Caenorhabditis elegans: one gene and its partner. The protein of the gene in region 1 interacts with the protein of each later gene in a pairwise test. Each region holds a gene or a part of one and is shown on either strand. Other genes may lie near its edges.

Region 1 (4,650 bases):
CAACGAGCCGCTCTGTGAGGACTTGGAGTTTCAACCTCGATGGGCTTGTCAGAATTGCAACAAAGCGTTGAAGTATTACGATCCAATTCCCGACGATACTAAGCTCTGTCTGATCTGCTCTACTTATCAAGGAATTACTGGAAACACCCGTCCATCGAAAGCCACTGTGTTCAGCAAGGAAGAAGCCAACAAGGTTATTTCTTGGAATACGCTGATGCGAACATCGTCGGGCTCACTGTCACGGGAAGAGTTTGAGAAGATCTACGCATTGAAGAGATCTGAGCTCACAAAGGAAGAGATCGAAATTCTCGGACACAACGACAATATCAATCGTCATTTGGCTGTGGAGAAGCGTATTTCTGCAATGTCAACGTCTGAAAAGCTGAAGCCATATTCTATCCCGCTTTTCCAAAAATGCGGTTATCAAAATGGACATCACATGATCGTTGAAGTTTGCCCAGGAGTAGCGGAAAAGCTCAAGACGATGATTGTTTCGGTGAAAAATTCGAAAAATTTCGAACGAGTTCAAAGACCATAAATCACATATCCTATTGCATTTTTTTCGGTTTAAAGTTACTTTGAAGGCGCAAACGTTATCAAAAGACGAAGATTTTATGAAAAAATTTTAAAAATAAATAAAATAAAAATATTTTCGAAATTCAGCAAAAAATAATGATGCAAAAATAAACCATTCGCTACGAGACCCATCGAATTGCAATGACGCTTGCGCCTTTGAAGTAACTGTATGTTTCCCTTATTTTTTTTAATTCCAAATCCCTGTACTTTGACTATAAATTTTTGTTGTTTTCTTACTTTGCACATTTCTCAATTCCCGAAGTTATTTCGACATTTTTAATTGCTTTCCCTTTTTTAAATTTAAACATTCCCCCGGTTCTCACTTACAAAAGTGATATTCTGTTGATATTCTTGTTTCTCGTTTCATAATGCTGGTTGAATTATCCAAAAACTCAACTTATACTTCAGTTTTCAGTTGAAAATATTGTTTTCTTTACCCAAATCGAGAGATTTCAGGTTTAATATTCGAATTAACCGCTAAAATTTGCTTGTGTAGATTTACGCTAAACAAGGCTCCGGCGCAACATTGGAGTGACGTCGGCAAATTTCTTCAGCGAAATTTTTTTTAATGGAAATAGATGAATTTTCTTGTCAACTTGTTCGTTTTGCCCCAGATTTCCTTCTTTACGCTTTAAATGACTTATTTCAGCTAAAAAAAATGGCCCGCTACCTTCTCGGCGCCACAATGTACGTGGAAGACGTGCTTCGAAGAGACGATTGGAGTTTAGAAGAAACAGAAAATGTGAAAAAATACTTCAAAAATGTGAAAAGCTTCAAAATTCCGAAGATTGAGAAACGAAAAGCCGAGGAATTTGATGAGCCATGCAGAAAGAGAGTAAGAATTTATTTTTCAACAGTTTTTTTCTATTTTTTACATATTTTTCAGTCAATTTGCAGTGCCGAGTCGAGAAGGAGAAGTTCGAAAATGATTTGCAGGCTGGCATCCGATTAATGACACTATTTGCAGGATTTGAAGGTAGAAAATTGAATTTTTCATTCATTTCCATATTTATTTGGCTTAGAAATCGACGAAAAAGCGCTGGAAAGGCTCACAGATTTGGCAAAACTTCGAATAATCACATCAGCAAGACAGATGGCGATTGCTCAGCGGAGACGGAAAGATGGCTTCGAAATTCCTTTTAAAGTAATATAAAAATTTAAAATTGAAGATTTTCTACAAAAAATGACACGTTGTATAAATTATTTCTCAATTTTTTACCAAAAATTATATCAAAAATCGTTACAGAGCCCCGTGGAATGGACGTTGAAGCTACAAGGCGTTCAAAAAGTTCTCGACATCAAAGAATGGTATGACGTCACGTATTGGACGAGATTTCGCGCATTGAAGATGCAATTAATCGACGAAAACGGAGACTTGAAGTCGCCGAAAAACCAGAACTAATTCTAATTTCATGTGACATATTTATTAACTTATTTATTGATTTTCTTCTGTGAATTTTGCATAAAACTAGCCAATTTCTCTCGATTTCATTGTAAAATGTCGTATATTTTTTCGAGGTTGTGTTTAAGCCTTATTATATTTACGATACGATTTTTATGACTTTTTCAATTTCAGAACAATATTCTGCAGAATACTTTGACTTTTTTCAGCTCCAAAACATACCGAAATTCTTATTTCAAGCTGAAATTCTCGAAAACCTTTTGAATAAAGTCAATAAAACGTAGAATAAACAACACGCGGTGTCGTTATTTCGGAGCATCGTTGAGGTTTTTTAATTTCGTTTTTTTTTCGATTTCATCAAATTTCACATTTTTCGTAGGTTGTCAAACGAAATTGGTTATTTTTGTTGAAAAACAAGTTATAAATTGACGTAATTTTATTAAAATAAGTTTATCCTGTAAAAATTCTAACAATATATCCGATGGTTTTGCAGTTTTGTGCTGGAGTTCCATGGAAAACATTAGAAGTCGTGTTGTTTTTTTCGAAAAATAACAGCTTGTTAACAATTCTTCGCGAATTTTCCTATAAAATCTCAATTTTTTTTTTAAACCTATCCGTCTTACAAAAAATATCGATTTTGGCATTCAGCATGAGGAATATTATTGTGAAATCGAAAAAATAAAACTATTTCCAAGTTTTCTTCTCCAAAATTTGAGGTGTTTTATTTATTTTCTCCATTCGTTTCCCTAATCCAAATTTTTCCAGCTCCAAAAAATGTCAAAAGACGATCCGATCAACTCCATCTTCTTCGAGCACCAGGAAGCTGCTCTTTGTGCTCAACACGCGCTGAATATGCTCCTACAAGATGCTCTGTACAAGTGGCAAGATCTCCGAGACTTGGCCATTCAGATGGATAAAATGGAACAACAAATTCTGGGAAATGTAATGGAAAATACGAAAAAATTTTAATTGAAATTCTTGATTTTTCAGGCAAACCCAACTCCGGGACGAAGTGAGAACATGAACGAAAGCGGCTACTTTTCAATTCAAGTTTTGGAGAAAGCACTTGAAACATTTAGCCTCAAGCTCACAAATATCGAAAATCCTGCGATGGTGGACTATAAAAATAATCCCTTGTACGAGTTACCATATAATTTACAAAAAAATTTCATAATTTCCAATTCAGAACCGCCCGTGCTTACATATGCAACCTCAGAGAGCACTGGTTTGTGCTCCGAAAATTCGGAAATCAATGGTTCGAGCTGAATTCGGTGAACCGTGGGCCCAAATTGCTCTCTGACACTTATGTTAGCATGTTCTTGCATCAAGTGTCGTCGGAAGGTATAAATTCATGAATTTTGAAGCTAAATTTTGATAATTAGAGCCAGATTTTTATTTATCCCTAAACTACAAGCTGTAGCGTTGATTTTTTTTTCTGAAAAAAAGTTCCAAAAATCGAAAATTATTTTAATTTATCAATTTTCAGGTTATTCAATCTTCGTGGTGCAGGGAGTTTTGCCAAGATCCGATGCAGACGATCTCATCTCGCTATGCCCAGTTGTACCGCCAAAAGTTACACCGAAAAAGGAGCAGAAGCTGGAGAAAGTCATGACAAAATTCTTCAATACCGTCGGAAAACGACTTGGCGGTGGAAGCGGTGCTCCTCCGGATTCTCAAGAAGAAAAAGATTTGGCGATAGCTTTTGCAATGTCTATGGAAACAAAGGATGGCTCTGAAGTGTCTCGAAGTTCCGCTGAAATCGATGAAGAAAATCTCAGAAAGGCGATTGAGCTGAGCCAGGCTCCAGGACCATCAGAACCGGCTGAGATACCGCTATTGACTCGTTCTCGATCTTCGACGCCGCCAGGAGCTTCAGAACCTTTTTCAAATGCCGAACAACAGCGCAGAGATCGACAAAAGTTTTTGGAGCGATTCGAAAAGAAGAAAGAAGAGAGGAACGATGAAAAATAACGATTTAATCGTAAATTTATTATTTGAATTCTATTATGTGAATATATTCTCGGCTTTTCCTGTATAATTCGATTATTCATTTCTCCCGATACTTGTATCCCCAAATACTTGGTGCTTATGTATGAACCGCTTTCAGACTATGTGATATATTATTTAGAATTAGATGAAATCTCCTTTTTTTCTGAATTTTGTTGCCCTTTTCAAAGTTATTCTGGCATTCCATGAGTATTACTACCTTCAATTTTAGAGTTTTTGGAAAAAATAATCATTTTTTTTAGATTGAAAATGTTCGAGGAATTGGATGCAGAGGACGGCGGAGAAGAACAGGAAATGCCAATGAATGGTGATTTTTGAAAATTCAAGAAATTTTTCGAATTCGAGCTTAAGCTAGTGCTCCACGAGGAGTAGGATTTCCCAGTTTTTTTACTCAAAAGAAGAAAATGGCAATATCTTAAGCTATTTTAATACAAAATTTGATAAAAATTGAATTTTTTTGTTAATTTTCTGATCATTTTTTCCCGATTTTCTCTGAAAAAAAAAACTTTAAAAAATTATTTGATGGCACCCTTGAGCCGAAATAATAAAAATATTTTACAAAATCTAATAGTTCCAGAATTCGGCGGCGGCGGTGAGGACATTGACGATATTCTCGGCGATGCTCCGGATCTTCCAGACGACGAATACTCGAATAGTGTTCCACA
Region 2 (4,675 bases), 6.1 Mb from region 1:
GAGAGCATTTGCTCCATGAATACTGCAATATGGCATAGTCGGATCACCGTTTCAAAGCCAGGGCACAATTTTTTCTGCCTCTCTTTTTATTCCGACTCTCCGATATTGCAGTATTCAGTTCACAAAATAAACTGGATTACTGTAATGGTTCTGTAATTGCTGCTATAATAAAACTGTACAACGAATTCCAAAAGTTTCAGGTCTGCACTATGGCTTCGGTATTCAATATTTCTTCGGGACACAAAGCTTATCCTTTTGCAGACATATGCAGTTTCAATGCAACTATTCTTCGTGATTGCACTCATTTTCTACCGTACCAAAAGAGTATTTATATTTGGATCTTGTTCTTTTTAAATATTTGTTTTTAATTTCAGCGAAAGTTAATTCGTCTAATGACTGGAATTGCAGCTGCTCTGTCTTTACTCTTCTTGTACATTGGTAATATGAATGATGAAGACGGGAAAGAAGTGAGTGTCTGCGTCCCTTTTTCTTATATACACTCTCATTTCTCTATGTCTCTTTCAGTTCACTGGCCGCATCGCATCTGGCGCTCAAATTGCTGGGTCTCTGGTCTGTCCGTATCTAATAGTAAGTACTAGTTACCCGTTTAGCCGTCGGGGGTATAGCTCAGGGGTAGAGCGCTCGCTTCGCATGCGAGAAGTCTGGGGTTCAATTCCCCATACCTCCAAATTTCATTTTGCAGTACAAAGCAGTAACATCGAAATGTATAGATTTTGTACCCCTGGCTCCAGTGGTCTTCACGTGGGTAATGGAGCTCCACGCGATCGTTTATAGTATTGGTATTGATGATTTTTACATGCTGGTTTGTTCGGAATTTTTTAACTGTTATCAAATCAAAGGGTCACATTTTCGACGTGGCCTAGAAAGATCTAAAACTCGGTCGGCGGTTTATCTTTAATTTTCACAGGTTCTTTCTGAACACTCTGAAGATTGAGAGTAATGTACTTAAAATAGTTTTTCTATTGGTTTTTCGGAGAAGATTTCTTGAGATAGTTCTTAATAACGTGGCACCAGGCTGACCCATTACGGTTTGATCTACAAAAAATGCGGGAAATTTTTTGCCCAAAAAAATGTGACGTCAGCACGCTCTTAACCATGCTAAATCAGTAGAGAAGTCAGCGTCTAATTTCCCGCAATTCTCGTAGATCTACGTTGATCAAACCGACATGGGACAGCCTGACACCACGTGTAAATTCAACTTTTTGAAAGTGACCGAGTTTTCTCAGTTTCTAGGCCACGCTTCATTCTTGAAAATTCGTTGCTTTTAGATGTAAAACACTAACTTCAAGTATGTGGACAATTTTTTGCACCAATAAATGTGTTAAGATAATCCTAAATTCAATTTTACAACTTTTCAGTTAGCCAACGTGATCTTCTTCTGTATGGATGGTTCACTTCTCTCGATGTTCTTCGTGTATCCAACGGAAAAAAAGAAGAAAAATTTGAAATCGTCACCAATTCCAACAGTCATGTAACCCAGAATGCTTCGTGTTTTGGTCAAAGCATCTCAGGTTTTCTATCAATTTTCTCTCCAACACCAATTTAATGTTGCTTCTCTCTCCTCCTCCCACTCCCAATTCTCAATTTTTCGAAATAAACGGGTACCAGTTCCTTAAGACGGTCAAACATTTATCATTAATCAAGAATTGAAAAGCGACACTTGAATCAGCGAAGAATAAGCAAATCACGGAGATTTAGATACGAGAATAAGAAAAATGTAAAAAAGACACAAAAAACGGAAATAAGAAGAAGAAGATGGGCGAAATTAAGAAGATGTGACATTGCACGTTTATCATTTCGTCGCGTTAATCGGACATTAACACCGCTTTGTCTCAACCACATACAATTTTTTGAAAAATTTCGGTTTTTTGTGGGTGATTTAGTCTATGTTACTGTAATCGAATTGACAAATTCTTCGATCGTCTATGACTTTAGCTTTATAATTTAGGTTAGAAAAAGAGAAGTTTCGGAGATGGAATGTGTCAACTTATGTTCCAAAAAACCCAATAAACTGCAATATTTATATGAGAAATATAAACTGAAGGTAAGAAGAATGGCAGGTTATATTATTAATTGGTGTATATGAAAGAAGGTCATTCGTTTATTATATTATCTATTCTTAATCTCTTTTATTACATCCAAACCTTTTAGAGACTCTCTGAACATTCTATTGAATTCGAAATTTTCATCTGGGGATTACTGTACTTAGCTCATAATCGTATCAATTCCTGAACACACTCACTGCCGTTCTCAAAATTATGTAAATTTTCATATTCTCTTTATGGCATCTGAGGATTATTTTTATGGCTTAAAATCAATTTTTGGCAACTTGACTACTTACAAAATGTGTTCTCATGCATAACTTTGTAATAGGTGGGTACGAATGCTTTGTTCCTTTGAACTTCAAAGCGTTCCCAAGAACGCCTTGTATTGGTATTTCTCGACGATTTATTGTCCGTTTCTCGTTTCTTGTGATAATTATAGAGGTCAAAATGTCACTTTTACTTGCCATTCATATATTCCAGTCTTTTTTCAATTTCAACCCGATCTCTCAGTTCTCTACCAATTCGTCTTGAGCTAATTCCCTTGTCAATCGATGAGTTGCTTCACCTCCACTAAATTATTCATTTCGCATCAGGAGCAAGTAGTCTGTACGACTTCCGTTTCTACCGAAGAGCAACAGAAGCCTCAACTCAAACTGGCAGAACCACCTGTGATAACAATGAGCGGAGTTACTGCAATTGAGATTCCACAATGGATTCAAGATAATCAAGAGGATTTTGTACCACCTGTTTGTAACAAGTGTATGTTCTCGGATCAGTTGAAAGTTTTCTACGTTGGAGGACCAAATCAAAGAAAAGATTTTCATTTGGAAGAAGGAGAAGAGTTTTTCTTCCAGAGAAAAGGGGATATGGTACTGAAAGTGATTGAAAAGGGTCAAGTCCGTGATCTAGTAATCAAGCAAGGTAGGATTCATCACAAAATTTATTTTTGAATTTGTAAATTAATTAATTAATAACACAAACTCACATGGTTTCTTAGATAACTTTTTAACTAGCTTTTTAAATTAAAATTCCATGAACAAAAAATTTAGACTGAAAATTGAGAATTTTTCACAATTTATAAACGGAAACTAAATCTGTGTTGTCAAAAATTTTTTGGAATTATTTTTTTCACAAATGTTAGATAATCTGAATCAAAACTCAAAATTGAGCTCTCTATTTTTCAGGGGAAATGTTCATGTTGCCAGCAAGAGTAGAACATTCACCTCAAAGATTTTCCAACTCTATTGGTCTTGTCGTTGAACGTGAACGAAAGAATACTGAATTTGATTGTGTTCGATTTCTTGTTGGTTCTTCCAATATCACACTCTTTGAAAGATGGTTCTATTTGACTGATGTTGTCAAGGATTTACCTCCATTAATCAAAGAATTTTATGGATCGAATGAATTCAAAACTGGTTGGTTTGTAGTTGTGTGAGCTCACCGATTTTTTGTTTCAGGTAAACCAGGAAAAGGAACATTTGCATGCAATGCTCCATACGAAGCAAGATGGACTGATTTACCCGTACCTATTAATAGAAAAGAATTTATCTATGATCATATCAGTGAAGTGAAGTAAGAAATTAGTTGGTTTTGTTTCGGATAGTTAATTTGAGAAGTTTTCAGAAACGGACCAGTGAGAATTTATGGAGCACCTGAGTACAAAACTGAAGTTATGTTGCTAGGAGAGGGATCTTATGATTTGGAAAGTGGAACTGTAGAGTTGCTAATTTGGTTGCAGGTATGGCAAAAACAGAAAAATCCCAAAAAAAATTCATGTATCATTTAGGAAAACACATTTGCGGTCGTAGAAGAGAGCGGGTTCACTTATGCAATGAAATCGGAGACCATGGTTAGGATAAAACCGAACACAAAGTAAGAATACGGAATTATAGGTTCTTTGAAATAATTTTGTTTTAGGTGTCTTCTTAATGTCAAAGGAGGATTTGCTATCACCATCAGAATGCCAGCATAATTTTTTTTTTCAATTTTGTAAAAGTCAATTTCCATATAGGCTGATTGAATGAATGCTTTTTTCAATATTTCTATCTTTATTCCAAAATGTAATTTCAATTTTGATTTATAACAAAATGAATGACATGCAATCGTGGCCAACTGATAACATCAATTCCGTTTCATTATCATCGATGTCAAATGTCTCGTGTAACACACGCTGTCGGTTCAGCAAAACCATCATGTTCTTCAAAGCTTCAGAAAATTTGTACTTTCAGACCTCGTTGTTCGTTTCAGGAAATTATGTCACTGTAAAAACTGTAAAATTGGTTAAAAATACAAAGAATCCAATTTTTGTTTTGTAGTTAGTTTACATAACTATTTTTAGTATGATTTCTATTTCATTAGAAAAAAAAACGTTAACTCATTCCGAAAATTTTTTAGCAGAAAAATAATAAATGCCTTTTAGCCGTAATTTTCAAAGGGGTTGTTTTTAAATTTGATGGGGAAGATTGAAAATAATAACTTAAAATAACTTCTCGGTTGGAAAAAAACTATAATTTAGAAAATGTTCACAATACCTCATTTTTTACTGTCAAATCGTCACGAGAACTTTGATTGTTGAAATTTGGCCAGTACTTCCTTGTTTTGAGCATCTT

Evidence for each region.
Region 2: the proteins of atx-3 (region 1) and haao-1 interact in a two-hybrid assay, tested with the Caenorhabditis elegans proteins (one large-scale study listed by BioGRID).

What each region holds. Positions count from the first base shown.
Region 1 is NC_003283.11:15,574,981-15,579,630, reverse strand, and holds atx-3 (Ataxin-3 homolog), read left to right. Parts: upstream 1-2,187; 5' UTR 2,188-2,304; intron 2,305-2,743; 5' UTR 2,744-2,752; coding exon 2,753-2,920; intron 2,921-2,968; coding exon 2,969-3,114; intron 3,115-3,164; coding exon 3,165-3,319; intron 3,320-3,464; coding exon 3,465-3,949; 3' UTR 3,950-4,133; downstream 4,134-4,650. Other genes in the region: F28F8.7 (ELM2 domain-containing protein), read left to right, coding at 1-538; F28F8.9 (uncharacterized protein), read left to right, coding at 1,145-1,174, 1,226-1,411, 1,474-1,552, 1,599-1,720, 1,823-1,978; Coiled-coil domain-containing protein mdt-28, read left to right, coding at 4,235-4,292, 4,557-4,650. UniProt on the Caenorhabditis elegans protein: Acts as a chain editing deubiquitinating enzyme that binds and cleaves 'Lys-48'-linked polyubiquitin chains, with a preference for chains containing four or more ubiquitin molecules thereby modulating protein degradation by the ubiquitin-proteasome pathway.
Region 2 is NC_003283.11:9,502,946-9,507,620, forward strand, and holds haao-1 (3-hydroxyanthranilate 3,4-dioxygenase), read left to right. Parts: upstream 1-1,964; 5' UTR 1,965-2,065; intron 2,066-2,659; 5' UTR 2,660-2,743; coding exon 2,744-2,987; intron 2,988-3,250; coding exon 3,251-3,481; intron 3,482-3,523; coding exon 3,524-3,638; intron 3,639-3,689; coding exon 3,690-3,804; intron 3,805-3,852; coding exon 3,853-3,938; intron 3,939-3,983; coding exon 3,984-4,038; 3' UTR 4,039-4,173; downstream 4,174-4,675. Other genes in the region: swt-5 (Sugar transporter SWEET), read left to right, coding at 201-324, 375-467, 526-588, 704-823, 1,380-1,496. UniProt on the Caenorhabditis elegans protein: Catalyzes the oxidative ring opening of 3-hydroxyanthranilate to 2-amino-3-carboxymuconate semialdehyde, which spontaneously cyclizes to quinolinate.